Linked DNA regions of Diceros bicornis minor. The protein of the gene in region 1 purifies or fractionates together with the protein of each later gene. This does not show direct contact. Links are inferred from orthologs where the notes say so. Each region holds a gene or a part of one and is shown in the gene's direction. Other genes may lie near its edges. The genes, in order: MYCBP, ARFGEF2, ARFGEF1 and SPAG5.

Region 1 (7,532 bases):
AATAATGGGGCCATACTATTCTATTTTAGAACCTGAATGTCACTGAAATAATACATCAAATATCTTTTTATATTAGTATATCAAGTCTACTGGTTGCATAGTACCACACTGTGGTTGTACTGTAATTTATTATGTACAATACAGCCTTTCTTGTATTGATAATTATTTTGGATGTTTTCAAATTATTATTATTATAAACAACATGAATAATATCTTTGTTTACACTTTAAAGTCCTTTGAATTGTTGAGTCAACGAGTATACTATTATTAACATAATGAAGTCAAATAGAAATTTTCTCTATCTCAGGAATACAACTAAATTTTAGAAGGCTGATGCTTTTGCAAGTTTTTTTTTTAACTATATAAAGCTTTAAAAAGGGAACTTAAGACTCCAGAACCAGTTATTTAAAAAGTCAAAATTATCACTATTTTACATGCCTAGTTTAAATAATTAAACTTTTAAGAGAAAGCAGATGATTTTTTAATGTTTTTTCATGCAAATTTCAAGTATGCTTAAAGAGGAAAAATAACAATCTAGTAAAACAATTAAGAGCTGACCTTAGAGCCACGTTGACTGAGGTTGAATGCCAGTTCTAGGTGTGTGACTTTGGGTAATTTAAGGTGTGTCTCAGTTTCTTTATCTGTAAAAACAGGGAAACAACATACCTACCTCATAGGATCTTTATGATGAACATATCTTGTAGCTATAGTATCCTAGTATGTTTGATAGTGTAACATTTCCCTTTCTATAAAGGGTATAGGACATACATTTATATTTTATTCACATGAAAGTAGATAAAAACATTCACTCTTTTTTTCTTTCCTTTGGGATATATTTACTCTTAGGTATCCTAGGATATCTTAATATGGAACCTACTGGTTGATAATCCAAGCATCTAAATTATAACTTGCCCCAGTGCTCCCTCCACAAAAGCAAGCTACATGTCTTAAATAGGTCAAATACTGTTACAATGAAAATTTCTATGATATCACCACCACCACAATGATCCATTTATTTCAAGTAATATCTAATAACAATCGGGTAGTACAAAATAGTTGAGAATTTTTGGAGTTCATTTTAAGATGATAAAGATTTACAAAATTTTTCATAGCAAAGTATAATAAGAATTTTATGTGGATATAAATTTATATTTATATCCACAAATATATTAATGAAATGGCTTCTAAAAATGCCCAAAAACTGCCAGAAAGAAACCGGAATTTAGACGTTTAAATGTGGATTAAAGAACTAATCTAAATTCCTATAGCAAGAGCCAGATCTGTTTCTTCTGGTTTCATTAAATGCTGTTATCTTACTGAATTATCAAATGAAACACATTCATTTTCCTTTGTGCATAAATGAGATTTTAAAATCATTGACTTTGGTTGTAACTTTTATATAATCTTAATAAATAGGTTTGTAAGATTAAGTCAGTAGTTTTAGGAACCTCTCCAAAAGTTCTCAGTTTGAAAAAATAAAACAACAACAGCTAAGTAAGAAAACTCCTTATAGGGAATCCTACAGTTCTATTCTTCACAGAGAATATATACACCCCACCCCAGGTTATCATTTTTTTTTTCATTGCATTATGAGGTCTAAACGTAAGTGCTTTTAAATTCCTGACATCTTAAATATATTCTTGGTAACAGATTATCACAGCTCTCCAGGGGAAAAGGAAAACAACCAACACACTGAAAGAGTGATGCTTTGTTCATATTTTGGCCATAGGCTTGCTTCAAGAAATAGCACGCCCTTCAGAATGGAAGAATTTACCTGCGTCCTATTTGATGGGGTTCAGACCTAAGATGGCTGACTAAACAAACATGGGGGACTGGAATTTCCTTGGAGGCATTCTGGAGGAAGTTCACATCCACTCTACCATGATTGGAAAGATCTGGCTCACCATCCTGTTCGTATTTCGAATGCTTGTTCTGGGTGTAGCAGCTGAAGATGTCTGGAATGATGAGCAATCTGGCTTCGTCTGTAATACAGAACAACCCGGCTGCAGAAATGTATGCTATGACCAGGCCTTTCCTATCTCCCTCATTAGATACTGGGTTTTGCAGGTGCTGTTTGTGTCTTCACCATCCTTGGTCTACGTGGGCCATGCTTTGTACCGACTGAGAGTTCTGGAGAAAGAGAGACAGAGGAAGAAAGCTCAATTGAGAGGAGAACTGGAGGGGATCGAGTGTGAAATGCCTGGGGACCGGAGGAGACTGGAGCAAGAACTTTGTCAGCTGGAGCAAAGGAAACTAAACAAAGCTCCGCTTAGAGGAACGTTGCTTTGCACTTATGTGATACACATTTTCACTCGCTCTGTGGTTGAAGTCGGATTCATGATTGGACAGTATCTTTTATATGGATTTCATTTAGATCCTCTGTTTAAATGCCATGGCCACCCATGTCCAAATATAATTGATTGTTTTGTCTCAAGACCCACAGAGAAGACAATATTCCTATTATTTATGCAATCCATAGCCACCGTTTCACTTTTCTTAAATGTTCTAGAAATTTTCCACCTAGGTTTTAAAAAGATTAAAAGAGGGCTTTTGGGACAATATAAATTGAACGATGAGCATAACAAATTCTATGTGAACAAGTCAAAACAAAATCTTGCCAAATATCAAAATACATCTGCAAATTCACTGAAGAAACTCTCTTCTGCAACTGATTGTAATCTGCTAGTGGAAAAGCAAATGCACATAGCAGTGCACCCTAGTTTAAATGCATCTGCATTTCAAGCGGATCCTGACAATCACAGTGGAAATGATGAGAAATGCATTTTGGATGAACAGGAAACTGTATTTTCTAAAGATATGTGCACATTTAGTACTACCTGTAGTCATCTTCAACACATCGGCTCAAGTAATAAAGAAGACACTCATAAAATATTTGGAAAAGAAGTTAATGGTAACCAGTTAAGGGAAAAAAAAGAAACTGACGGCAAAGACAGCAAAAGAAACCACTACTCTAAAGGTCACTGTTCTATTCCAGGTGTTGCTATAGATCTGGACAACCACGTGGGGCAGTCATCCCAAACAGCTTTCTCTCCGCCACCTAACTGCACCTGGAAACCCAGGTGGCTTCGTGCTACATGGGGTCCCTCTACAGAAGATGAAAAACAGATGTCACCTCCTAAAGGTAACCTCAGGGGCCAGTTCAGAGAGAGCACAATCAGAACCATTCCTCCTTCACAGGGTGACTTCCAACCACCTGACATTCCAGACACTCCTGATTCTTTGGGAGAGTTGTCCTTTGAATCCAAGTCGGTCAGAACCTGCAATAATCCTACTGCTTGTCCTCCAAATCATTTAGTGTTGCTGACAAACAACCTCAGTGGTAGGAGGGCTCCCACAGACCTTCAGATCTGAACAGCTGTTGGCTTTTAGTCTACATATTTATTACCATAGAAGTAGCCTAGTAGTGGTGGAGCATAGACAAAACAAATAATGGCAGCTCTAAAGACCAGCTGTTTACAGACAACTGCAAACTCATTTCAAAAACGGAAAACGGCTCTAACTCTGAATTGTGAAGGGGTAGTTTTAAATTAAAAGACATAGAGTTACCAAATCAGGATTACTTTTTCAGAAGCTCCCTTCAGAATTCCTGAAAACTGATTTTGGGAAAATCACATGTTCGGAATCGAGGCTAAATGGTTTGGAACTAGTTTTTTCCTTGAAGGGAGCACAGCATTAGGAAGATTGTTCTTGATCTATATATAATTCCCCCTTTTAGGTACTAATCTTTTATTTCTGGACACTGATTAAATTTTGTTTGCCCAGGGACTTAGTTTCCTTCTAGATTGCAACCTGATGTGTCTTGAATATAGTCATAATGTTGCTGTCTAGTAAATAAAATCTTAGATTGGTGGCTTTCTTTCACCTCTTTATAGCATCGTGATCCAGTACCCAGATAGGAGTCTTGGCTTTACTACTCACTAGTTACCTAACCTTGCCACTTTACTAACAGTACCTACCTTTCAGGGAGGGTCTGAGGATTAAAATAAGAAACATATGTGTTTAACACAGCGCCTGGCAAACAGTAAGCGCTCATAAGTGCTATTATTACATGGTGCCACTCACCCTCCCGAGCCCACATCGAGTCGGCCAAGTCGCCCTGCGTCAGTTGTGGGCACCTTTTCAGGGTGAGAGTCAAGAAGACCACGGCTTCCGAGGTTCCCATTGAGACGGGTCCGCCCACTACTACTGTCCGGAGATCCTCCCCGCCTGCAATAGTCCTCAGGCTCCTGGGCTCCATGCCCATCTTTGACCCCACCTGGACTCTTGTCCCGAGTTACCCAAACCTCGCCTCTCCCTAAGCAACCGAGTCGCTGCCGGGACCGGAAAAGGAAGGAGAGGTGCTGCTCCGGTAGCTAGAGGGGCGGGCGTACGCAGCCTCCCTCGGCTCAGCCCACCATGGGGCATTCAGAGCGTCCTCGTCGCCATGAAAACAGGCCACACCCCTGCCACCCCCCTCCCAAGGTTCCCAAGTGCGCAGGCGCGCGCGCCCTTCCGCGCATGAGCAGTGCTGCTCAGAGCCCGCCAGCCACGGTCCCGGGCGCCAGCTACGCCGCTGCCGCTGTCACTATGGCCCATTACAAAGTGAGGGGGGCGCGGCGTGGCTGGGGGCGTGCGGGCGGTAGCCAGCCGCTGTTCGGCTCTGGGTGGGCGTGGGGGCGCGCGCGCAGCTTTTGGGGGCCCGAGGTAGCGAGGCGGAGGCGGGGTTGCCGGACTCCCAGCGCCTTCTTCCTGCTCCGGCCCCCGAGCTTCGGCCGCTGACCCGCCGTGTCTCCTCAGGCCGCCGACTCGAAGCGCGAGCAGTTCCGGAGGTATTTGGAGAAGTCGGGGGTGCTGGACACGCTGACCAACGGTGAGCATGGGCTAGGAGAGGGCTCCTCTTGCCCTCGTCGTGCTCCTCGGCGCTGCGCCCTACACGGCGGTGGCGTGGGGAAGGAGGGGCAACAGGTAGGACCCGTCCGGGGTCCAGCAAGGTGGGCCTCGGGGTTCAGCGGGGCCGGACGCCGCCTGGGTGGGGTAGCCTCGCTCACGCTACCAATCTCCCGGCCAGGAGTGAAACTCTTGCAGCTGTTGCAAAGTCTCTAACTTCCGTTGCTTTGCCTCGAGCAGCCGCAGTGAACATGTTTGCTAAAGACCTGGAGATCCCAATTCCTTCCTCCTCACAATTTTCGAAGTCCTCAAAATCCTGTAAAGAAACAGTTTCTCTGGAACAAAGGGCAAGTGGGAAAATTACCAGATTCGAAAGTGGGCCATGAAGTAGCTAAGTAAGCCTAATCCCCAAAGTAGGCGATTCATAGTCAATTTGGCTGTGGCTTTTCAACTCCCGTTTCCTAGTGTGTATCAATTCCTGCTTTGTGCAGATTTCAAAATTAAAGTGGAATTACAGTTTAAAGAGTTTAAGGGCACATCAACATGGTTATATTGTTTTCACTTTTTAAAATGGAAGCTTACTGTTACACTGTATCTCTTCCTCCACGGTTCAAGATCTAAGTAGATGAGTAAGGTTCTTGAAACAGGAGGGTTCCAAGAGACGGTTGGGGTACTGCTTATTTCATTAGCTCAGCAGTAATTTGAATGCCTGCTATGTATCACTCATTGGCTGAGACTTTCAATGGTGCAGAACAGAAGAACTGGCAGGGATGATGATCTGGGACCATATGAGAATAGTAAGTGTCTGGGAAATAATTTGTTTAACTGCTCTTTCGCCAGAAGCAAAGGTTAGGAGAACATTCTGGGAGAGGAATAACTCTGAGTCTTGGCAGAAAGCAGGGCTTTCACTTCCTAAGCATCAGCTGGTAATTTTGAATTGCTACCTACCTTGGGTTCAGGTACTAGTTTCCCTATCTCTTTGCAAATTTTACCAAACACTAAGGGACTACTCTATGAAAGCCTCGTGCTCTGTTGTCTCTGGAAGTGTCACTGATGCTTGGAATTGCATCAATCCACTCCCTTCAAAAAACTTCACAAGTTCATTTATTTAGCCATTTTATTCAGGTCTCTGTTCTAGGCACTGGAGATACAGCAGTGGGAAAAAAAAGGCCAAGCTCTGAATGAATTTTTTTATATCCTAGTTGGAGAGACAAATAAATAAACTCATAGTGTCAGCTGGTGGTGTTATGAATAAAAGCATAGCAAAGTAAGGGGATAAAGAGAGATGGGGTGGGATGTGTGTCCCATTTTATATAGGGCAGTGGGGGAAGGCCTCTCTTAAGTAACATCTAAGCAGAGACCTGAATGAAATAGTATGTGATGTCAAGAGTTCCTGGATGTTTAAGGAGGCCAGAGTGGCTAGATGGAGTGAGTGAAAGATAGAAATGGTAAAGGGCAGAGAAGTGACCATTGTGGGAGGTAACTGAAGATGTACAGCCTTGTGGTCATACACGGATTTTTCTTTATGAGAGACTGGAAACCACGGGTGGCTTCTTTTACCTTGCTCACATCCACTGGTATGTAATCCCTGAATCTCCCTAGATTTCCAGTCTCCTAAATAACATCAGATAACATAGTGTCTATTGATAAAATTTAAAATTTGATTTTCAGCTTCAAACATAAGTACTTTACACAGATTTAATTTATAATTTTTATCCAGCTTATTTCCAAGAGGATTTGAAACTACTTCTAACATTGAAACAGTAAAAGACAGGATGGATAAAGATAAAGATAAGTCAGTGGAAGAAGAGGCATTTTAGTTATTTTGAGCACTATATTAACCTGTAAAAATTGTGGCTAGTAAGGCAAAAAGGGGAACACTGGGTATAGAGTTCTTATCTGATTAAAAGAAAGTATATTTTATCTATAGAAAAGCACAGGAAACTTGACATTTACATTATGTTCTGTAATTATCAACCTTGTAAGTACCACTGACAGAAATTTAGAAGCTGAAAGAAATGAGGTGGGGGAAGAAGAGGAAGAAAGGGTAAGAGTATTCATGTCTTATAAAATTAGTATTCAGTAGAGATCAGTAGAAATTAATCAAAGAAAAAACAGGTTTGAGTATATAATTTAAAGAAAAAAGTAGTAAGCAAAGGAATTAAAGAGTACTGTAACATATTAAAAGGAGAGAGGGGAGGAGAGGAGAGGGTAGTGGTGATGCAGATATACCAGTTTCTCAAAAAATAGTGCTGGCAGTGTATTTAGAGAGATGAAGAGTATCAGAACTCAATGTAAGATGTTAAAAGTACTTGCCCGTTTGAGTTTTTCATACTGTCTGTATTTTGATGACTTATTAAAATTCTAAAAAATAAAAGGGAAGCATGTAAGTTGGTTTACAACAAGAGTTCTTAACTTGGGGTCTAGACATGCACAATTTTTGGTGTGTAGTTAACATTTTTTGGCTTTTATCAGATTTTTTCAAAGGGTTCCATGTACAAAAAAATTAACCTCTGTTTTAGAGAGATTTTTATCTGAGTAGGAAATTCCAGGAGGATTTGTTCAGTAGAAGATGAGCAAGGTAGTGCTGACATGAGCTACTGGATATGAAGCTACTGAACATAAAGTATATATTTTAATGCTGA
Region 2 (7,941 bases), on another chromosome or scaffold:
TCGAGAGGGTGCATTGGAGTTTTGCCTTAAAGTAAACACAGCAAATAAGTAAATTCCAAAGGGAGCAATGACACACAGAGGCGCTGTGGGAGCAGGGGCAGGTCCTCTGGTGTGGCTAGCGTATCAAGAGTCTGTGTATCGTGGGAAGAACCAGGCTGGCAGCTGGAAGGGCCGACTACAGGAACAGCCACAGGACATTAAGTGACTGACGCGTGTTACCAAGTTGAGACATTACTCAGAGGAAAACAGGAGTCAGAGCAGACACTGTTGGTTGCTGGCTTTATTAGTTAGGAGTAGCTTCCACTGCAAGAGATGGGGAACCAAAAATAAACGGTGCTTATGTCTATCTCATGTAAAAGTCAACAGGCAAGCGCCCCAGGATTGGCATGACCCTCCAGAATGTCAGGGACCCAGGTGCCTTCCCTCTTGTTGCTCTGCTGAGAAAAACTGCTGTTTCTTTTATTTACTTATTTATTTATTTTTGTGTGTGTGAGGAAGATCAGCCCTGGGCTAACATCCATGCTAATCCTCCTCTTTTTGCTGAGGAAGACCGGCTCTGAGCTAACATCTATTGCCAATCCTCCTCCTTTTTTTCCCCCAAAGCCCCAGTAGATAGTTGTATGTCACAGTTGCACATCCCTCTAGTTGCTGTATGTGGGACGTGGCCTCAGCATGGCTGGAGAAGCGGTGCGTCAGTGCGGGCCCGGGATCCGAACCCGGGCCGCCAGTAGCGGAGGCTGCACGCTTAACCGCTAGGCCACAGGGCCAGCCCAAAACTGCTGTTTCAAAACTGCCTCATGGGTCCACCACTGCTGCTGGGCAAAAGGAGACTGCGAGTGGATTGCTAGATAAAATACAACATATCCAGTTAAATTTAAATTTCAGGTAAATAGTGAATATTTTAAAAAATATAATTACATCCCAATTATTGCCTGGGATATACTCATACTAAAAAAAGTATTCATTATTTATCTGTAATTCAAATTTAACTGCTGTAACAAATTACCGCAAATTTAGTGGCTTAAAGCAACACAAATTTATTCCTTTCCAGTTTTGGAGGTCAGAAGTGTAAACGAGATGAGCAGGGCGGTGTTCCTCGTGGAGCCAGTAAGGGAGAATCCGTTTCTCTGGCTTTTCCAGCTTCTAGAGGCTGTCGGTGTTCCTCGGCTTGTGGCCCCACAATCACTGCTTCCATCATCACACCTCCTCCTGACTCTGACCCTCCTGTGTCCCTCTGTGAGGACCCTTGTGAGTACATCGAGTCTACCAGATAATCCAGGATAATTTCCCCATCTCAAAACCCTTAACTTAATCACATCTGCAAAGTCCCTTCTGCCCCCTAAGGTTCTGGGGATTAAGATGTGGGTATCTTTGAGGACCATAATTGTGCCTACCATAGAAACACAGAAGTTGCTTCCCAAATAACTTAATGATTAAATGATTAAATCTGGTGGACTCCAATCCAGCCACCTCCATTCATTCATTCATTCCCTAGATGGTTATTGAGCACCTTCCGCGTGCTCTGGGCACAGAGCTGTGAACAAGACAACGTCTCTGCCTTCATGCATGCACATTCTACCCGGGCAAGACAAGACGGCAAGTGAACAAAGTCACGTGAAAACAGACCTTTCCTTTAAAAGGTGGATCCTAATTCTTCTCCCCTGGAGTGTGGGCTGGACTTCGTCACTCACTTCTAAAGCAACTATGTGTAAATCAAGGGAAAACTATATTTTGTCTGGACTTTATCAAATGTCATTCACCATTTCAAAACCACATTACCAACATTCACGCCAATCATGGTTGAGTCCCCAAAACAGCACCCTTGATCAGTCTGCATGGTGAGCCACTCTGGAGACTAGGTCAAAAAAATCACTGCAGCTTCCTAAGAGCTCTCTCTCTTTTTTCTTGGATCACTCACTCTGGGGAAAGCAAGGTGTCACATCATGGGCACTCAAGCAGCTTTGTGGAGAGGCGAAGAACTGAGGCCTCCAGCCAACAGCCAGGTGGGGGAGCCACCTTGGAAGCAGCTCCTCCAGCTCCAGTCAAGCCTTCAGATGAGACTGCAATCTCATGACAGACCCTGAGCCAGAACCACCCAAGCTGTTCCCAAATTCCTGACCCATAGAAACCATGAGATAATAAATGTTTGACTTTAAGCCCCTAAGTGTTCATGTAATTTGTTATGTAGCAATAGACAACTGATACACAGATAAATAAACACCACCATTTCACTTACATTTCAGAAACTTAATTTGGTTTAGTGCAATAAAGAAAATAAATCAAGACGATGTGGACACAAGGGGTGGGGGTAGCAGTGATAAGACTGGGAGGTTGATGAAAGCTTCCCTTGCTGAGCTGATGTTGAGCTGAGAACACAATGATGGGACGTGGCTAGCAGTCTGAGCAGGGCTTTCTAGCCCCAAGAGACACCACACACCCCTTTTATAACTACGAGGTCTCCCTCGACTATTCTGAAATAAAATTTATAGATAATGAAATCTTCCTACACACATAATTTTTTAAAAAGATAATGACCTAACGAACAAGGATGAAACAAAAGGAAAGCAATGTATAATTTGCAAATTTTATTTCCATATATAAATGCTCAGGCACAATTACACTAAGAGATATAATAAAGCAGTCAGATACTGGCACCTAAAAGCAGAAACTGGGATGACGACAGCTACAAATGCAGGCTGATCAGGTGTGCTGTCATGGCGACTTAAATACCAGGGCCTGCATAAATGGTGGTGATGTGGTTTTGAACTGGTGAACAACATTTGTTCAAGTTCCACACAAAATGCAGTTTTCCCTTGAATTACAATAATAGTTGCATTCCTGAAAAATTCGATACATATTAAAACTGTGTGAAAAATGCTTTGTGTTTCTATGTAAAGTAGATGTGCGTTCTAGGTTTAGATCATTATTAATAAGTTTTTCACCTCCAGGTCTCACCAGGGTTACACAAGCTGTTGTATTCAGCTGGTGGGTCGGCTGGGGGCTGGGCTCAGCACGGAAAGCTGGGATGACTGGGCTTCTCTCTTCATGGGCTCTTTCTTCCAGATGCTCCTGAGCATCCAAGGTCTCTTGGTGCCTAGGCTCTGGAACGCAGGCAGCCTCACTTCCTCCACTTTCTATTGGTCAAGACAAGTGACAAGCCTAGACCAAGGGGGTGGAGAAACAGAGTCCACTTCTTGACAGGAGGCACTGCAAAGTTGCATTACAGCCATGGAATTCATGTCCATGAAACATTCTACCCGGCTCTAGACCAGGCCCTGAGGATACAGCCTGCCCCTCTGTGGCCTACAGCCTAGTCAGACAACAAAGTCAACAAGTAAAAATTGTGAGATAGTGCTATGAAACACATCAAATGGGGGAGGGGGGCTACTTCAGACAGAGTGGTCGGGGAGGGCCTCCCGGAGATGCTTGAGCTGAGACCTAAGTGTTTGAGCATGCCTGCATGGGAAGTTTCTGAGGTTTCCAAGAAACACATGGTCCTTGCGTGAACCCAACAGCACCACAGCTTCCCTTGGGGGAGGCGGGCAGTGTGAGAGGAGAGGCTCGAGGACATCGCCAGGGGTGGTGTGATATCAGGGGCAGTGGGATGGAGTGGAAAGTGCCCTGGGGCCAGAATATCTGTCTTCTTACACACATTTGCGGCTGTGTGACACTGGCCATCTCTGTTTCTTTCCCTGTCAGTCGCCCCCAAATACCCCCTGCCCTGTTCAGCACTGTGAGGAACTACAGGTTTACAAAAACAGACGGATACACTCCGGGGAGAAGTACACGTGGGGTGGTTCTCACGGGCAGCACCGTGCACAGATGTGGCACTGGATACACAGAAGGGCACCAAACCAGAGGCCAGGAGTTGGCTCAACTGCGGTGACAGGAGGTTGTGTGGAAGGTGTGTGTGTCCTGCTGACTCTCCCGTGTTGGAGAGTGTGCATGAACACACCTCCTGTCCCTCCCTCTCTTCCTTTCACCTCTCCTCTCCATCCAGCCCTCAAGCCCTACCTTCCATTTCTCTCTCCATCACACCAGGTTTTCTTGCCAATCTTTCTCACCTCCTCCCCTTCACCTCCCTGTCACACCATTTCTTTCTCCATTTCATCCCTCTTCCCTTCTCCTAACTTCCCCCCTCTTCCCTTTATCCCTCTCTTCATCTCCTCTTCTTTTCCTCTCTTCTCTGCTCCTCTCTCCAACTCTCCTTCCTACCTCCTCTCCCCTCGCCCCTGTACTTCCTCTCACCCCATCTCCACCTCTCTCTCCCCTCACTGCTTCTCTTACCTCCACGCCTCCCCTCCTCTCTAGCCACCTCACCTCCTCTTCTAATCCCCTTCCTCTTTCCTCCTCACCTCCTCTCACTCCATCACCTCTCTCTCACTCAATCTCCTCTTCTCCCCCTCACCTCCTCTTTCATCCTCACCACCTCCTCTTGCCCCTTTATCACCTCTCAGCAGTTCTCTTGTCTCCAATCTTCTCTTTCCCCTCCTTCCTTCCTCTCCTCCCATCTCCCCTCCTTCCTCGTCTCTTCTCTTACACCATCGTCTCCACTCCCACGCTCCTCACTGCCTGTCTCTTCACCTCCTCTCTGACCCCATCACCGCCTCTCCGCCCTTTCACCCCCTTTCCTCTGTCCTCACGTCGCCTCCTGCCTTCACTCACTTCCATCCCCTCCCCTCCTCCTTTTCCCTTCCCTCCCCCGCCCCTCCCCTTCTCGCCCCTCCCCTTCTCGCCCACCTGGCCCCGCCCCACCCCGCCCCCAGCCGTAGGCCCCGCCCCGGCGGGGTCACGGGGTCGAGGGACGCGCGGCGGCCGTAGCGGCCCCGCCAGTCACGTGGTCACGTGACGCGCTCCAACATGGCGGCGCCGTGGGGCCGCGGCATCGCTTCCTGACGGGGCGGCGCCGACGGACGCGGCCGGTGCTGGCCGGGACGCCGGACCCGCAGCCTCGCTCGCCCGCTCGCTCGCGCCGCCCGTCCGCGGGGCCGCCAGCCCCCGCCGGGCCAGGGCCATGCAGGAGAGCCAGACCAAGAGCATGTTCGTGTCCCGGGCCCTGGAGAAGATCCTAGCCGACAAGGAGGTGAAGCGGCCCCAGCACTCCCAGCTGCGCAGGGCCTGCCAGGTGGCGCTCGGTGGGTGAGCTGCCCCGGCCCGGCCCCGCGCCGGCCGTTACCCCGCCCGGCCTCCTGGGCTCCACCTCCCCCCGACCCGAATCCCACCTCCCCGCCTCCTCATGAGCCCCCTGGGAAACTGATGCGGCTCGAGACTGGCCCAAGGTCACCTGGCAAGTTGGTGACAGCCAGGGCTGGCTCTCCAGCCTCCCAGCCCAGGGCTCTGCCCGCCACTCTCTGCCGTCCTGTTTCCTGGTTCCTTCCGTCGCCACCCTCCGAGGCGGTAGCCCGTGTCCGAAGTTTTTTCTTCACCTGCGCTCTGCTGGTTGGGGTTCCCCTGTGTGAGCAGAGCAGGTGCGAAGAGCTGCCCAAGTGGTTTAGGGAAACCCCTGAGGCTTGCTTTGCAAGTGACGGATTGGAGAAGGTTTTCCTTTCATTTGGGGATCTTCCATAACTCCTTCAACGAAGGAATGTAGAGGGTTATTTTGCATCTCCCAAGTATTGCAGTGTGCAAGAAATCTGCTTATTTCGGGCGGTCCATTAAAATAGAGGGTCTGTGAGGGCAAGGCTACTTGTCTGTTTTGTTTATCGCTGGACCCTCTGCACGCGCAACAGTACCGGGCACGTAGTAGATGCTGATCGAATGGACCCACAGATTACGGAGACAGAGAGAGAACTCTAGCTCCTTAAAACCTTACTAGTTGATTCCAACATCAACATCCTTTCAGTTTCGATCATTCACCACGTATTTACCGCACGCCCACTGTGTGCCAGGCCCTGTGGTAGGCGCTGTCGTGGGCAACAAGGCAGACAAGGTGTTTGCCCTTATGGAGTTATACTGTGATAGGGGAGACAGAATAAGTATATAAGAAAATTAATGAGACATTTTTGAATACTAATAAGTATTTTTGTGAAAATAAAAGAGCGAGATGGGGGAAAGAGGGGCTGAGGACTGTTTTTGATATGGTGGTCAAGAAAGTAATCGTTTCTGAGGAGGCGATCTTTCAGCTGAGTACTGAAAGGCAAGAAGTATCCGCCATGTGGAGTTTCAGGAGAAGAGAGTTCTGGGCGGTGAGGATCAAAACATTTGACCAGAGCTGGCTTCAGGTTAATTCGCCACCCCAATGCCTTTGGTTTGGAATCAGTAAAAAGACTTGTTTTTCCTAACAAATTGCCCGAGAAAGTTTGATTTTCTATCACAGAATGTGAGGTTGCCGTCACCTTTCTCCCTTCATTTGGTGCAAGGCACAGCGCTGGAATTCTCTTGGGGCCTAGGAATGTGCTTGTGAACTTTGCACTTCTCTGGGAAGAGTGTCTGTGGGTTTCATCAGGTTTTTTAAAGGGTCTGAAACTTCCCTCAAGGGTCCAGAACTATTGATATAGAGATTGTTGTTGCTTAGATAATCTGGAAACAGATGCTAGTTCTGTGAAATTCAGGACTAATGGGAGGAATTTACTGAGATTTAGATTTTTAAAGCTTTTCAGTTCAGAAAACCTAAGGCTAACTGTTGGATATTGTTTTATCAGGAATGCAGGATAAGTACTACAAAGCAGTTTGTTAGTTAGGCAAAAGCTTGATACTTATAACTCCACTTTGAAATCTGGAAATGTGGAAAACTTTAACTGAATTGTTCTAATAATACTCTTTTCGTATATACATGTATGATAAAAGATGCAGTATCTTATTTAATAATTTAAAATCTTCTACCCTCTCAACATTGCCTTAAGAGTATTGTTGCAGAAGTTTCAAAATAGTTATTTGGCAGAAAAGTTTTCATTCCCCCTACAGAAAACTTAACAAAATTTTCACAAAATCGTGTATCACATTGTTGGAACCTACTTATAGAATTGTCTTAAGGGCCATAGCATTGAGAGCTTATGAGCTATTTTTGGATCTTATCTTTGTTCAGAAGTTCAGATTTTTCCGAGCTAAGTTGTGGAATGCACGTTCAGTGTTTCAGTAGTGAATTGCGAGAAGTAGCCTATATAGGAAGAAATTTGACTGCGGGTTAAATGAATAGCAAAATGACGTGGTGGCTCATCATTATCAAATTGGGTAATAGCAACTATTATAAGGGAACCTCTGCATGGTGTTGAGCTAAACTGGACACCTTTTTTAAGAGAGTAACTGTGTGTCATTGCTGTTAAATGGAAATGACTGCTTTTACTTATACACAATAGAAAACATAGAGCAAAGTACCTGGTGGTATTTCACTCTGCATCTCAAGGCACCATCTTGTGTCCAGTAAAAGTGGCTGAAACCAGTCTGTATAAGAAGTGTTGCAATGTGGCTGGTATTTTAGAGATTACCATGTGTAGATTATTGTTAATTTTGATAAGAGGAACTGTAAATAACCGCTTAAAGTTGAAATGCTTGGATAATAGAGAGCACTTACAGGAAACAGCTTCTGTGGTACGATTCCACCGGTTGTAGTGTATTGGGGTAGGGAGTCAGGGCTGCAGGGCTGGATAGTATAGAGATTAGGAGCGTGTTCTCTGGACTTAAGACTGCCTGGGTTCAGAGCCCTTGCCTTCCACTTGCTTTCTGTGATCTTGGACAGATCTTATACCTTCCTCACAGGGTTATTATAAAAATGAGGTTAGTTGACAAGTCCCGAGAACTCGGTGTGTCGTAGGTGCTCGGTAAAGGCTTGCTGCTATTATTTATGTTTATTACTATTTTAAGCTGTGACAAACCACAGAAACTATAAGCGCGCTAGCTTGATATTCGTAACCTCCATTGGTTCCTTGTTCAGGAATGACTTATTGCTCTGTTCGGTCTGTAGAGGCAATAAATAAGAATGTAATTACACAACTAAAAGGCTGT
Region 3 (7,610 bases), on another chromosome or scaffold:
AAGATTGGCCCTGGGCTAACATCAGTGCCCATCTTCCTCTACTTTATATGGGATGCCGCCACAGCATGGCTTGACAAGTGGTGTGTCGGTGCACGCCGGGGATCCGAACAGGCGAACCCCGGGCCACCGCAGTGGAGCGCGTGTACTTAACCGCTGTGCCACTGGGCTGGCCCCTCAAAAATTTTTAAATCCTATTTACAATAGAGCCAAAAAGTGAAATGCTTGGTTATAAATCTAACAAAACAGGGGCCTATTAAATACCACATTATAGTCTCTCATTCAATAAATATTTGCTTGCTTTTTTTATCTTTTCTTTCCAAATCAAATTCTTCAATCTATCATGTTTCCCTGTTTACCCTGTCCAGTGTATTGATACTTTTCCTGCAGAACAGTAAGCAGAACCTCTGAGTCTGAAGACACACTTTATTCATTTATTTCCTTAATAAACAAGAGGAAAAGTAGCAGACTGATAAAAGAGGAATATCAAATTAGCTTACAAGCTTCTTCATATGAAAAGCAAGAAAGCAGATGACTTACTTTGGAGATGGCTTTTCTTACATTAGTCATGTCACTATTGTGGTCTCAGCAAAAGTGATATATTTCTCTGTTTAATCAATGTTTTCCCATCTTTTACTAAGTTGCCTGCTTTATCTTGTATCCTTGGTCTTCAAAAATTTGCAGTCTGATTAAACACTACCGTGGATATATAATTAGGGGTAAAGTGTGAGATAGATGATGCTGCAAAGGACAGAGAAGGGTGGGATTGGTGCTATTGGAGGCAGAAGGAGAAAACTTAGAAGGGGATGAATTTCAAAGAGGCTTTGAAGGTTGGGAAGACTTTGGGGAGAGCAAACAAAACAAAGGTGGTGGTGGGCGCTCTGGATTGCTGAAACATAAACAAAGGCATCCAGGTGCAGATAAGCTTGGTGTTTGTATGGACACCTGGTGTGGGGGTGAAGCAAGGGAAGGGGGGCAGTTGGAGGAGGAATGTGCTGGAACTTGAGTGGTGCAGGGGAAGAGGGAGTCGGCAGAAAAGGAGGCTACAAGAAATGACTGTTTAGAGACACAGTATAGTTAGTTGTTTAGAGTATGGGCCCTGGAGCCAGACTTTCCAAATTGTAATCTTGGCTCCACCACTTATTAATTGTATACTCTAGGCAAGTTATCTAAATTCTCTGTGTCTCAGTTTCTTCACTTATAAATCAGAGATAATAATGGAAACTTCTTCATTTGAGTTGTTGTATCTGGTTCATAATAAGCTCTATATAAATCTTTATTATTATTATCATTTGGAATGTTTTGAAAGCTAACAGAATTTAGAGATCATGTGAAAGACTACTCAAGGCGTCATAGTTTATTTTAGTCAAGTGAACATGATGCTATTTTTGATGTTAACTAATATTGGTTTTTAACATCAATCAGATATACTCAGCATTAATTAAAAATCTATGCACATTTTATTTAATTTTTATGTTACACCAAACTTATATCTATATTTAAAAGGATGATGATAAAGCACACCAACCAGATGCTAAAACCCAGATCAAATCTTTTGTTGTTTGGTATTATTTGACTTCTTTGGGAACTAAAGTGGGAATATTACCTAAAGAGAAAAGTTAAGATAGCTAATATATAGCAAAGTGATAGACGAAAGGGAAAATGATATGGGGTAATTAGGTGATAAAAAGGTGAGATTGCAGACTGAGAGGCAAAAATAGAGGATGATAGGCATTTCATAAATACAGAATTTGAATTTGAATGTTTTGAAAACAGCAAGGAGTCAAACGCAAATAAATACTGAGATTGGATTTCTTATTTAAATAGGTTGAATAACCACCAAGCAACGACAATAGTAAAAAATAAAAGGAAACATACATACAGGGAAATATATTCATAATTTTGTGTAAAAATTGCCTGAGTCTGGCACCCTCAAACACTGTCTTTCCTTTTATCTTTCAAGGACATCAGCTTTATTTTAGAGTCTTATCTTATTTTTTGCTCCAGGAAGGTCAGAGTTAACATCTTGAGTTTCAAGCTGGGTGAGAGTGACTGACCTCCCAAGGCTGCGTCTCCCGCCTGCCCCTCCACCCCTGCCCCTCATTACCACCATCTTCTGGGTGAAGTTCTAGACTCAGCAAAAGAGGAGAAAGGAGGAGAGAGGTCATTTCTATTCATTCACTGGCTCTGGTCAGAAACATGGCATTCATTTGTGACCTCTTCCTTTCTCTCACCTTCATTCCAATTCATTATTAAGTCCTGTTCATTCTGCCACCAAAGAATATCTCAAATCTGTCTGCTTCGCTCCATCTCCACTGCCATCACTCTGACACCACTGGTCCATCTAATCTTTATGCAAATTAGAAAAAAGAGCCCCTTATCCCTGGCAGATGCTGGAGCTGGACTTCAGCCCATTTGCCATCTTTGTGGAGGGCATGATCTCCCAAACATTGCATGCTGATCCTGGTCCAGCCTAAGCCATGTTGCACTGTCGTAATCACCTCCTCACTGTTCTGCCCACATCCAGTCTTGTCCCCTTCCAATCTCTTCTCCACACAACAGAGGGATTACTTTTAAGTCATCAATTTGATCACTTCATTCCCTACTTAACCCTTCTATAGAATTCTATTGCTACTGGGATGAAATCCCAAACCCTTAACATGGCCTGCAAGGTTACGTAGGATCTGATTCCTAGTTCCCTCTTTATCCTTACTGGCACCATTTCCCCCTTGATAACTTTCAGCCACTGCCTTGTTTTGGTTGCTGAAATTTGCCAAGCTTCCCCTGTACCCCAAGACTGCTTAGGAAGTTCTTGCCTGACTTAGTTTGGCTGATTTCCTTCAGGTCTCAGTTTAAATGTTACTTCTTCAGGAAGCCATCCCTGAATCCAAAATCTAAAGATCTCCTCATAACATTTTGTTCTTCTCTTTAATCATACTTAACACATTTGTAATTATATATTTATTAGTGATTTACTTGTTTAATATCCTTTTTGCTACTATATACTGTAAACTCCACAAGGGCAAGGATCATGCCTGACTTAGGCCAGTGTCTTTCATTCATTCAAGTTTCTATTCAAGTTTCTACAAAAGGCCTTCTCTGTGCCAGTGACTATACTAGATGCTAGGCATATAGAAGTGAATAGACAGATGAGGTCCTTGCTCTTATGAGGGAAACAGATCACCAATCAATAAACAAGTAAGCAGACAAGATAATTACGGATTGTGATATGTGCTATGCAGTAGAATCTGAGCTCTTCATGAGCCAAGATCTCTGTCTGTATTACTCATTAATGAATGCCAAGTGTATTGTTTAGGATAAAGCTAGCTGCTAAACATAGCTGAGTTTACTTTGCTCATGTTAAGTAAGTCCAAAACAAATATTCCCGATGGGTGGATCCTTCTAACTTGTGGCTCTGCCATCTTCAGCACGTAGCCATGCTGAAGAGGAAAGAGCATGGAAGATTGTTTGTGGAAGACTTTTTTTTTTTTTTTTAAATGAGCTAAGCCTGGATGACTACACGTAACTGCAAGGGAGGAACATAAGGTACCTCTGTACTGAGAAGAGTAAATGGATTTGGTGATCAGCTAGCACCTTCAACAGTACCTGGCACAACAACAGCATCATGAAGAAACTAAGATAAATTAGAAATGAAGCTTGTTCTCAAAAAGTTTATAACCTATCAGAGTGTACATGGAAATCAATATTACATCTGATCTAGAAGTATATTCAATCTCTAATTTCCAAGAAGTTAGAGATAGTCTTGAAAATGAAATTAATGAATTTATGGATGTTTCTCAGGACCAGAAAGTTTTAGAAATTAATCTATTTGTCCACTTTAATTCGGGGTCAGCTTTAAGGTTTTCATTTTTATTTCTCATGTTTTTTCGCCTGTCCCAAATCTTGTCACTTCACAGCCTCTCCATTCTTGGGTTTGGATAGCTGCATTAGGACAAGTCGGTAGTCAAGGCAATCGAATGGATCAGAACAGTGAGAAACACATTCTGACAATCTGGGACCCTGTGTTGATCGGGGCACACAGTAGCTTTGAGCTTGGAGACATGCCCCTAGATCACCATGTAAATAAGTTCTTCGCATACGTTTTTAGGGTATTCTTTATAATTTTCTGCTCTGAAGGAAACACTTTGGATTTGAATTCTTTCGTGCCAAAGCAGACATATGGTCACGTGTGCGTGTGGGGTAATCGGTTTGTACTTAAAGCTTTTCCATTCTGAAACTGGTTTTCACGTCCTGGACCGCATCTTAGTATTAAAGGCACACAAACAGAGCTTTCAAGGACCTCGTCAATCAGAAGCATTCACCTGTTCGCTTAACTCAATTCAGAAAGGATCCGAAATCTAGTTTACCGATGTATCCTACAGAGATGAAAAAGTGAAACATTCCGGAATCCTTGTTAAACTGGTTTTAGTTTACTCTTCCCAAGGGAGAATCTTCCCCTGAGGTAGTCGGTGGGCATAGTCCTGGAGAGCAGTTTCTTGCATCTGGGAAGGAAATTTAGAGTCGAGCGCGGCGGGTGGGAACACAGTACGGCTGAGCATGGGCGACACGCGTGTTTCCGCGACCCCTGGAGCGGAAGGGACTGCACTCCCACCACCCGGATTTCCAGGAAGTTGGAGAAGCGGATGCAGCACAGCCTGGAATCTTGTTCACCCAGCTCGAGCAAGGATACCAAGGGGTCCTGGGTACCGAAGCCAACCCGCCGCAAGTAGACCGAGGTGCCCGGCGCGGCGCCGCAGGACGCCCGCCACGCCCCACGCCGCCCTGCAGGCGAACGCGGGAGGCGGCGAGGCCCCGCCGGGCCGCCGTAGCGCTGCGGCTCGGGCCGCTCCTCCCGCGCCGCCCTCCGCCCCCTGCCTCCCGGCGCCGCGGCAGCTCTGGGCAGGCAGCGCCGTCGCCGCCGCTTCCTCCTCTGCAGCCGTTCGGCCGCTGCGTGACGCGTCGTTTCCTCCCAACATGGCGGCCGGGGCAGGTCGGCGGTGATGGAGGCCAGTCCACTGCCGCGGCGGGTGCTAATCCCCACAGTAGCCAGGGCAGCCCTGCTCTCGCCGGGCCTCTGAGCCGCCTCGGCCCTCGGCCCCCGGCACACGGCCGCCAAGGCTGGGCTCCCTCGCCGCCCCCGGGCCGGAGGGGCGAGTGAGGGGGGTGGCCGGGCAGCGACTCCCGGGCCGGGAGAAGCGGAGGTCCGACGGGCGCGGCCCTCCAGGGGCGGCCTCTCGGGGGACGGTGAAGACCCCGGCGCCCCTCGCCTGCACCGTGGCTGGTCCCGCTCCCCCGCCCCTTCCTGATCCTGCCGCTGCCCTCCACGCCTCCTCTCCCCCACCTCCACCCCCTCTCCTTTCTCTCCGCTCTTCCTCCCCCTCCGCCCCCCCTCCAGCCGCTGGGAGCCGCGGGTCGGACGGGCCGCTGCCTCCTCCTCTGCGTCCATGTATGAGGGCAAGAAGACGAAGAACATGTTCCTGACCCGGGCCCTGGAGAAGATTCTGGCCGACAAGGAAGTGAAGAAGGCGCATCACTCCCAGCTGCGCAAAGCGTGTGAGGTGGCGTTAGGTGAGCGGGGAAGAGGCCGGGCGGGGGCGGGGGCGGGGGTGGCGGCCGGCGCGGCGGCCCCGCGCGAGGTGGGGTCGCCTGGGGGTGCGCCCTAGGCCGGCGCCGCTGACCTCAGGGAGCCCTCGCCGAGCTCCCTGCTGCCCGGCTGGAGTTGACAGCAACTCGGCTGGATGTGGGGCGGAGGAGCAAGGGCAGTGAGCTGGGCTTGGACTCGACTGGAGAGTGGGAGGTTATTTTGTCGGTGGACCGTGCGGTGCGGGCGGGATACCAGCCTTTGTGATGAAGCAGAAGATGAGCTGTTGTTTATTAGCTTGGAAATTGAGGTGGAGCTGATTTGTCGCGACTGGGCGTGGGAAGGGTTCCGAGTCGTAATTTCAATAACTTTATTGTTTGGCGTGGCACTTTGGGAAGACAGGCTGAAGTTGTTCCGTTGTTGACAGTCTTGAGAAGGGCTTTGCGAGAGGTGTAGCCGGTTCTGACATCTCTCCGCCTCCGCCACAGGAAAAACATAGAGTAATGTTTTATCTGACTGGGCTGACCTGGAAGAACAAGACCAGAGGTTAAGGGGTGGGGGTTGCGATATAAAAGCGGGGAAGGAAGGGACCTTTAGATAAGCTGGTTTTAGTGACAAGGAAAGGAGGGTTTAAATGGGGAAAATGAAAAAGACAGTGACACCCACCAGCCACATGTCTGGACAGGGGCAGCTGCTCTCAAGCTTGAATTGTGATTTATAGTTCAGACGGAAGAGATCTGGTGTAATGAAGCCCGGAGCAGGGTCAGTCTAAACAATACCTACAGCGAGGACGGGCAGCGGAGGAATTGTTCAGGGGGGAACGCTGACAGATCTATTGCATCCATCAAAGATGAAATCGTTTAAGGCGAGACTAGGACATTTAACACGAAGATGAATTCCTAATGCTTACGTTTTATTTTATAGCTCTGGAAATAGACTTGATCAAATTGATGAGAAAATGAACCTTGTTAAATGGGCTTTGAGGAAAAAAGCGTTCTTGAGGGTGAAAAAATCCAGAATAACTTAAATGTGTGCTAAAGTAGAGGATCAAGACAGCTTAAAAGTAACTTTGCCTTTTAATTATTAAAATAAATAGGCTCCTTTTTAACTTGCTGTAATAAGCTATGCTGTTTTTTCCCTTATTTTTTGAATCCTTAAATGTGGTGATATGAAAAACATTGAAAAAATTTCATTTAAAAATTTTGAATCTGTAGTAAAGTTTAGTTTTTTGGCCCCTTGTGGATCAGAAGTTTACCATTTGTTGTTCTTGTAGCTAACAAAAGACCTCCAGGTGTGTGAGAAGACATTTAACAATGGTAAAAATTGATTTATATCTGGTTCCTGACAGGAATAATTATTAAATTGCGGCACGATGAGAGAGGGAGTGATTTTATTTTAGACTTTTTTAAAGAATTGTTATGTATAGGTTTATGAATAACTTGCAGATTAAAGAATTTATGAATAACTTGCAGATTAAAGAAATTAAAGAATTTAAGAGATTGAGGCCAGATTTTCCATGTTAGAGTATATTTTTAATATACTAAATTATAAGTATTAGACTGAAGAAATGGAGTGTGTTGTGTCTGTATATTTTTCCTCTCCAAAATCCTAATATAAGTAAGTTTGTTTTAATGGAAAGCTCACTGGAAGGAGAGTCTGGGATCTTAGGTTTAAATCCCAGTTCTGTTACTTTACAATATAGTCAAGTCCCTGGGCCTTAGTTTCCTTCTCTGTAAAATTAGGATATTGAACTTAATGATTGTAATGTGCCATGAATATGAATACACTGTTCTGTTAACTTGTGCATTGAGTATTCCTGCCCTCTTGATTGGCCCTTTTAGAGGGCCTATAGCTTGGTTCTTGGCATTTTCAGACATAAGAACTACTTGGTAGTGTGTGTGCTGGCTTACCAGGATTCTCTATTCCAGATTTTGCCAGTTTTTACTTTTTTGCTTCTTCCATATTGTTAGCAGAAGCTTAGTATGAGGAATGTGACTACCCAGGCAGGGGCTGGGCACTGGAGTGCTTTCTT
Region 4 (7,389 bases), on another chromosome or scaffold:
CAGCAACTAGAAGGATGTGCAACTATGACATACCACTATCTACTGGGGCTTTGGAGAAAAAAAAAAAAAAAACGGGAGGAAGATTGGCAATAGATGTTAGCTTAGAGCCGGTCTTCCTCAGCAAAAAGAGGAGGATTAGCATGGATGTTAGCTCAGGGCTGATCTTCCTCACACACACACACAAAAAAGATATAAGTTAAAATGAGGTCATATGGGTGGGCCCTAATCCAGTATGATTGGTGTCCTTATAAAGGCACCCTTATAAAGACACCCACAGAGGGAAGACCATGTGAAGCTACAGGGAGAAGACAGTCTCTACAAGCCAAGGAGAGAGGCCTCAGAAGTAACCAACCCTGCTGACATGTTGATCTCGGACTTCTAGCCTTTTGTGAGTTGTGAGAAAATAAATTTCTGTTATTTAAGCCACCCAGTCTATGGTACTTTGTTATGGCAGCCCTCGCAAACTAATACAACCCCTATGAAGAGTTCTAATAGATTAATCAGGAATGATTATTTATTTACAAAAATGCATGCTATCTTCTTCCCTATAGGTTGGTTTTGCTTATATTCTGAGAACATGTAATTATTTTAGATTTCATTGGCCTCTCTATGAGTTTTGCTGGTTTACAGAGCTCCACTGATTAGCTGCTGTCACACTGCCTCCTTTGTTCAGTACTTCATCATACACAGTAGCAGGTCTAGTAATTCCAGTTTCATCCTTGAGTTCACTCAGCTGCCTGGTGGATACTTCTCAGAGTTGCTGATTTGGGTTATGTAATTTGATTTTCATAAAATAAGTAATCTCTAATCAGAAAATTTAAAAACTACAATTGCTTTTAAGTAGTTGGACCCCTACTTCATATCATATACAAAACTTAATTCCAGATACATTAAGGATTTAAATGTGATCATCAAAACATTAAATACCTTAGAAGAACATTTGGGAGACTAGACCTACAATCAAGGGATGGAGGAGATACCTAAACTAAGACAGAAAATGAAAGCACTATAAAAGAAAAAGAAAAACATTTACATAAAAATTTGATGAATGAATAACTCAATCAGATAAGATCCAAATGCTCTAAAACGAAAGATAAACATCTTGACTACATAAAAGTTTTATCTTTGTATGGCCAAAGATATCATTAATAAAGTCAACAGACAAAAAATAGATCTAAAAAATTCTGCAGTGTGATGACAGTTAATGTCTATAACACAGAACTCTTACAAATTAGAAAAGAGAAGTAACATTTTTTTAAAAAGGGCAAGGAATAAGAAATGACCAATCAATTAATTAGATCTATATCAGTTGACTTAGAAGACTCTATACTAGACAGTGAGGAAAAAAATGCAGAAGTGTAAGAAATAATGCCATTTTTGTAAAGGACTCAATACCTTCTTCCCCTCCCTTGTGTGTGTATGAGAGAGAGAGGGAGGGAGGGAAAGAGGGAGGGAGGGAGAGAATGCGCAAGAATGTGAAAAAGGGAACCTGGAAGGGAGAGAGGAGTAATGCAAGTGGAAAGAGAAGAGAAAAAAAGAAAGGCATGAGCCCTCAATCCCAGAGACCCCAGGCTGCACATCAGTTAATTTTTGGGAAAAACAAATATGTGTGTGTAAATGAAGACAAAACCTGTGTGAATGCATATATGTTTTTATAAAGGTATACACACTATTGGTTACCTCAGGCAGGTAGAATGAATGGGGGAGGCTGTGCCTTTAATACATCTTTGCATTGAATTGTTTCTCTTGCTATAACAAGCATCTATTATTTTTACAATTTGAAAAACACCAAATTAAAAAAATTATTATCCAAACAACACCAACAAACCAATTCTGTTTATGTTACCTATTTACAATGGTATTTTCCCTCTTATCTACCCCTCCATCTCTCTCCTAATTTGCTGGCATCTGACATACCAACTGCAACAAGGACTAAGCAGTCCAATTTACACATTTCTATAATACAAGCTAATACAATACTACTGGCACTTAAGAGTTTTCTGTCTTGGTTTTTGTGCCACTTGCTACCCTTGTTTTCTTTTTTTTTTTTTTTAAGATTTTATTTATTCATTTTTTTCCCCCCAAAGCCCCAGTAGATAGTTGTATGTCATAGGTTCACATACTTCTAGTTGCTGTACATGGGACTCGGCCTCGGGTTGGTCGGAGAAGTGGTGCCTTGGGGCGTGCCCGGGATCTGAACCCGGGCCGCCAGCATCAGAGCGCGCGCACTTAACCGCTAAGCCACGGAGCCGGCCCTACCCTTGTTTTCTTTGCTGGATCTTTTCGATTGGCCAGAAGTATACATACCTTGGGATTCCCTCTGCTGAGTCCTGGGCAATCCCAGACTCAAGTTTGTGCTCTTATGTTGTCTTTCTCCCAGTTTTCCATTCAGGCAACTGTTCTCTCTAGTGCCCTGAGGCTGGGACCTTTTTTTTTTTTTTTTTGTGAGGAAGACTGGCCCTGGGCTAACATCCGTGCCCATCTTCCTCCACTTTATATGGGACACCGCCACAGCATGGCTTGACAAGCGGTGCATCGGTGCGTGCCTGGGATCCAAACCTGGGAACCCCAGGCTGCCGCAGCGGAGTGCACGCACTTAACCACTTGTGCCACCGGGCCGGCCTGGACCATTGTTTTTAGAGCTGTGCTGTACAATAGAAATATAATGTAAACCTCATAAGTAATTTTAAATTTGCTAGTAGCCACATTAAAAAGGTAAAAAGAAATGGGTTAAATTAATTTTAATGTATTTTATTTAATCCAGTATATCTAAAATATCTTTCAACATGTAATCGATATTAATTTTTTTTTTTGCTGAGGAAGATTCACCCTGCACTAACATCTGTTGCCCATCTTCCTCTTTTTGCTGAGGAAGATTGGCCCTGAGCTAACATCCCTACCCATCGTCCTCCATTTTTATGTGGGACACTGCCACAGCATGGCTTGATGGGCAGTGCATCCCTCCATGCCTGGGATTTGAACCGTGAACTCAGGGCCACCAAGGTGGAGTGTGTGAACTTAACCACTACTCCACCAGGCCGGCCCCTCTTCCTCTGTGTTGTATGTGGGTGACTGTCACAGCATGGCTGATGAGTGATGTAGGTCCGCACCCCTGATCGGAACCAGGAATCCCTGGCGGTTGAAGCAAAGCATGCCAAACAACCACTACGCCAGGGGGCTGGCCCTAATCAATATTAAAAAATAAGATATTTTACTTTTTCCATACAAAGACTTTGAAATCTAGTTTACGTTTTACACCTATAATTCATCTCAATTGGGACTAGCCACATGTGGCCAGTGGCTGAGGTATTGGACAACACAGTTTCTAGAGGAGCCCATCCCCTGAGGGCCCTACAGTTCATAACAGATTACAGTTCCTCCTCTTGGGATTATTGCCTTTTCCAAACTCATTAAGACTTCAGAGTGTAAATAAGATGCTGAATGTTCAAAGGAACACATTTCATCATAAACTATAACTGTGAATACTTACCTTTAGGCTGTTTCCAAAAATCAATCAGTTTCCTCTTAAATAGCTAGATTTCCCATACAGAGGGGACTGAAGCGACAGTAGAATGCAGTAGTTCGTAGTGTGGGTTGGCATCTTGCCTCTGCCATTTACTCCCTGCGGGGCATTGGGCAAATTACATTATCTATGGTTCAGTTCCTTCGTCTGTAAAATGGGGATATTTATAGTACCTACTTCGTAGGTCCTTACGAGGATTAAAGGAGTTAATATCGATAAAGCATTTGGAACAGTGCCAGGTACCTAATAAATGTGCGATACCCGTTAGCTATTGTTCCAGTAAACTTGTTGCAGGCCCCAAGGTAAGTCCCAAGAACACGCTAAAAATTCTGAAGAGGCTAAATTACAGCGCAGGTTGAGAACTACGTCTCAGGCCCTCACCAACGCAGGACCTGTGCGCGAACCGACCAAGCCTAAGGAAAAAAGGCTACACTCACCTTTCCTTTCCGGACTACCCGGCCCGCTCTTTCTGGTCAAGGCTGCGGCGCGAGGTAACTAAGAGACACCGGAGAAGAGACTTCCTGAGGCCAGGCCACGAAGACCACTTTTCTGTCAGGGCGTGAGGGTGGTCTCCTGGAAGCAGGAGGGATGGATTCCATGACTCTCCTGCTGCTTGGGTACCGTCCCCGAAGTGAGGCCATAAGACTGGCCTCGGGCTTGCGGCACGTCGCCCCTCCTGCCCGTGTCTTTGGTACGGGATCCGCAGAGACCGCGCGCGAACCGCGGTCCGGGGCGGGGGCGTGGCCAATGCAGGCCCCGCCCCCTCACCCGCCGTGTTCGAGCCCGGAGCAAACACGCTAGGCCGACGCACTGAGGCTCCGCAGCCAATCGGGAAGCGCGGAGCAGGTTCAAATTCAGACGGCGGGTGAACATGGCGTCACCCCTTGGGTCTGGGAGGAGATCGGGCTGCGTTTTGTGTTGAAGATGAGGCGGGTGAAAACACTGAACGTTAGCCTGTCGCCTTCGCCTCAGCCGGTGAGTGGGAGAGCCTCATGGAGAGAGAGCTGGGCCGAGGCTTCCGGGGCGGGGGCGCTGGCAGTGCCGAGTGTGCTGGAAAGCTGGGTCGAGCCTGGGGGCGGGGGCGTGTGGAGTCTTTTGTTGGTCCAGACGCTTCAGCGCGACTGGCGTCGAAGCCTACTCTTCTTAGTGCCCTATGGGCTTCTTAGGGAGGGAGGAAGGGCGGGCTGGCAGAGCCAGGCTTTCTTACACTCTCTTTCTTTCTCAGGGAAAACCAGCTGTGAGAACTCCCCTCCGAGAACTTACCCTGCAGCCCGATGCCCTCACCAACTCTGGAAAAGGGGCCCCGATATGCTGCTCGCTGACTCCATCACTGTGCAAACTGGGGCTGCAGGTGAGATTCGACTGCCCAGCTTCTCGACTGGGCTCTTTGCCGAGGCCAAGAGCTCAGAGGAATAGAGGACCCGGGCTGGAACGTAATTAATAACAATAATGAAGTCTTCTACCTCAGTGACATCCATTTACAGCTATTCAGGCCAACAGAGAGGTGCCCTAGGGTGGTTAAAGGAAATCCGCTGAGAACCCAGACCTCTATTTAGATGTTAGTTTTTATCACCTCCTCCCCCATTCAGTCTTTACTGAACTACTGAGAAATACTATCACTTTGATTAGGGGTCTCCCTCTAATATGGGCTCACTTATGGAGAGGTCAGTCAGCTGCAAGAGTGAGGCAATGTCCATCCATTCCAAGAGAGAGTCAAAACTCTCCTGGGATCAAGTTACACCACTGGAAGGCAGAGCACTTGGACCATCTTTGTTTATTTTTATTTATTTATTTTTTAAGTTTATTTTTATTTATTATTTTTTTGTGTGAGGAAGATCGGCCCTGAGCTAACATCTGCCAATCCTCCTCTTTTTGCTGAGGAAGAGTGGCCCTGGGCTAACATCCGTGCCCATCTTCCTCCACTTTATATGGGATGCCGCCACAGCATGGCCTGACAAGTGGTGCGTTGGTGTGTGCCCAGGATCGGAACCGGCGAACCCTGGGCCGCTGCAGCAGAGCATGCGCACTTAACCGCTTGCGCCACCTGGCCGGCCCGGACCATCTTTGTTTAAACTAGCCCCTTGTAGAATTGCCCTCACTGAATTGTACTTTTGTCAAAGGTCTTGAGAGAAGTTGCCATGTAGAAACTGCTTTTCACTTGCTGTAAAACTTGTCAAGGAAGGCGAGTGACCCCTCTATAAGGTTCCTCGAAGAAATTTCCTTTAGGGGCGGGCCAGTGGCGTAGTGGTTAAGTTTGCACACTCCACTTCTGTGGCCCAGGGTTCGCTGCCCGGATCCCTGGTGAGGACCTACACACCACACATCAAGCCATGCTATGGCGGCGTCCCATATACAAAATAGAGGAAGATTGGCACAGATATTAGCTCAGCGACAATCTGCCACAAGCAAAAAGAAGAAGATTAGCTACAGATGTTAGCTCAGGGCCAATCTTCCTTACCCCCCCAAAAAAAAAAATTTAAAAAAGAAATTTCCTTTAGAACTTACTGCCTGGGAAAATTCTGAAGAAATTGCTTTGTTTTTCTCTTTCTGATAGTGACAACTATGTAGTTTACTACATTTTACATTTTCCCTCTTGAACTGGCTTCTAGAAAGCTCAGGGTCAAATTTGATCATCAGGTATAACTACTGCTACTCCCTGAAATAGGAAGATTTTCTTCCTTTTTCTTTTTCTTTTTGTATTTCTTTAACCTGATGTATCCATCTATCTGTTCTTTTTCATGCAGTCTGAATTATTTTTGGAAGGAGAGGGGACATAAATAAAATAGGTTAGAGGAAGAAAGAATAAAAGCACATGGCAGCCTGAGTAACAGATGTATGAGAGTAGCAGTCTTTCTGTTTTTTTTACTGTGAGGAAGATCAGCCCTGAGCTAACATCCATGCCAATCCTCCTCTTTTTGCTGAGGAAGACTGGCCCTGGGCTAACATCTGTGCCCATCTTCCTCCACTTTATATGGGAGGCCGCCACAGCATGGCCTGACAAGTAGTGCATTGGTGCACCCCTGGGATCTGAACCCGGGCCGCCAGCAGCAGAGCGCGTGCACTTAACCGCTATGCCACAGGGCCAGCCCTGGAGCAGTCTTTCTTGAAAGAGCTCTAACACCAACTGTCCAATAGAACTTTCTGGGATGATGGAAATGTTTGATAATCTGTGCTGTCCAATATGGTAGCTATTAGTTAACATGGCTACTCAGCACTTGAAAGGTGGCTAATGTGACTGAGGTACTAAATTTTAAGTTTTATTTAATTTTAATTTAGATAGCCAAAAGTGGCTAGTGGCAACTATATTAGTACAGCTTAGGTAGAAAAGAAGTAAGTACTAAGTGGGAACTGATCTTCATAGAGCCTATAGAATTTAACCACAGCCATTTAATCACAGTAGCAAAATAGACTTCAATTTAGGTCTCCCTACTCTTAACTGGAGGGCTTGTTACCTCCTGATATAGTCGGCAATATAGACGAAGTTTTTTCCCCCCAAAAAATAACTTTTTTTTTTACTTTTTAAAACGTGATTATTTTTATCTTAGATGTTCATTGTTTGAAATATTTGAACGATGTGTAAATATAAGGATGAAAATGTTTCTGCCATTTTAGATAACTATCATATTTGAAAATCCTTTCTTGCATCTCTTTATGTGTATCTATCTGTGTGTATATGTTTATATACACACATATCCATAGATTATCATATTACTTTTTTATCAGGTCAATTTTTTTTCCCTTTTCTCTCTCCTCTCTTTCCCTTTTTTTTTGGCTTAGCTCCACTTTTCCTCTCTCTTTTGCCCCTCCTCTGGAATTAATCCCTCCCACACGTGCCCTGCTCTTCCCAAGAAACCAATCCATTTTAA

What was found.
Region 2: the proteins of MYCBP (region 1) and ARFGEF2 purify together in Homo sapiens (co-immunoprecipitation; 4 studies listed by BioGRID and IntAct, with this or other methods). This does not show direct contact. The link is inferred for Diceros bicornis minor from reciprocal best matches to the Homo sapiens genes MYCBP and ARFGEF2.
Region 3: the proteins of MYCBP (region 1) and ARFGEF1 purify together in Homo sapiens (co-immunoprecipitation; 4 studies listed by BioGRID and IntAct, with this or other methods). This does not show direct contact. The link is inferred for Diceros bicornis minor from reciprocal best matches to the Homo sapiens genes MYCBP and ARFGEF1.
Region 4: the proteins of MYCBP (region 1) and SPAG5 purify together in Homo sapiens (co-immunoprecipitation; 3 studies listed by BioGRID and IntAct, with this or other methods). This does not show direct contact. The link is inferred for Diceros bicornis minor from reciprocal best matches to the Homo sapiens genes MYCBP and SPAG5.

The regions. Positions count from the first base shown.
Region 1 is NC_080752.1:52,679,800-52,687,331, reverse strand, and holds the start of MYCBP (C-Myc-binding protein), read left to right. Parts: upstream 1-4,518; coding exon 4,519-4,602; intron 4,603-4,797; coding exon 4,798-4,870; intron 4,871-7,532. Other genes in the region: GJA9 (gap junction alpha-9 protein), read left to right, coding at 1,825-3,372. UniProt on the Homo sapiens protein: May control the transcriptional activity of MYC. Stimulates the activation of E box-dependent transcription by MYC.
Region 2 is NC_080758.1:12,954,795-12,962,735, reverse strand, and holds the start of ARFGEF2 (brefeldin A-inhibited guanine nucleotide-exchange protein 2), read left to right. Parts: upstream 1-4,927; 5' UTR 4,928-5,014; coding exon 5,015-5,135; intron 5,136-7,941. UniProt on the Homo sapiens protein: Promotes guanine-nucleotide exchange on ARF1 and ARF3 and to a lower extent on ARF5 and ARF6. Promotes the activation of ARF1/ARF5/ARF6 through replacement of GDP with GTP. Involved in the regulation of Golgi vesicular transport.
Region 3 is NC_080772.1:19,746,451-19,754,060, reverse strand, and holds the start of ARFGEF1 (brefeldin A-inhibited guanine nucleotide-exchange protein 1), read left to right. Parts: upstream 1-4,594; 5' UTR 4,595-5,441; coding exon 5,442-5,565; intron 5,566-7,610. UniProt on the Homo sapiens protein: Promotes guanine-nucleotide exchange on ARF1 and ARF3. Promotes the activation of ARF1/ARF3 through replacement of GDP with GTP. Involved in vesicular trafficking.
Region 4 is NC_080757.1:18,899,012-18,906,400, forward strand, and holds the start of SPAG5 (sperm-associated antigen 5), read left to right. Parts: upstream 1-4,385; 5' UTR 4,386-4,447; coding exon 4,448-4,498; intron 4,499-4,748; coding exon 4,749-4,874; intron 4,875-7,389. UniProt on the Homo sapiens protein: Essential component of the mitotic spindle required for normal chromosome segregation and progression into anaphase. Required for chromosome alignment, normal timing of sister chromatid segregation, and maintenance of spindle pole architecture.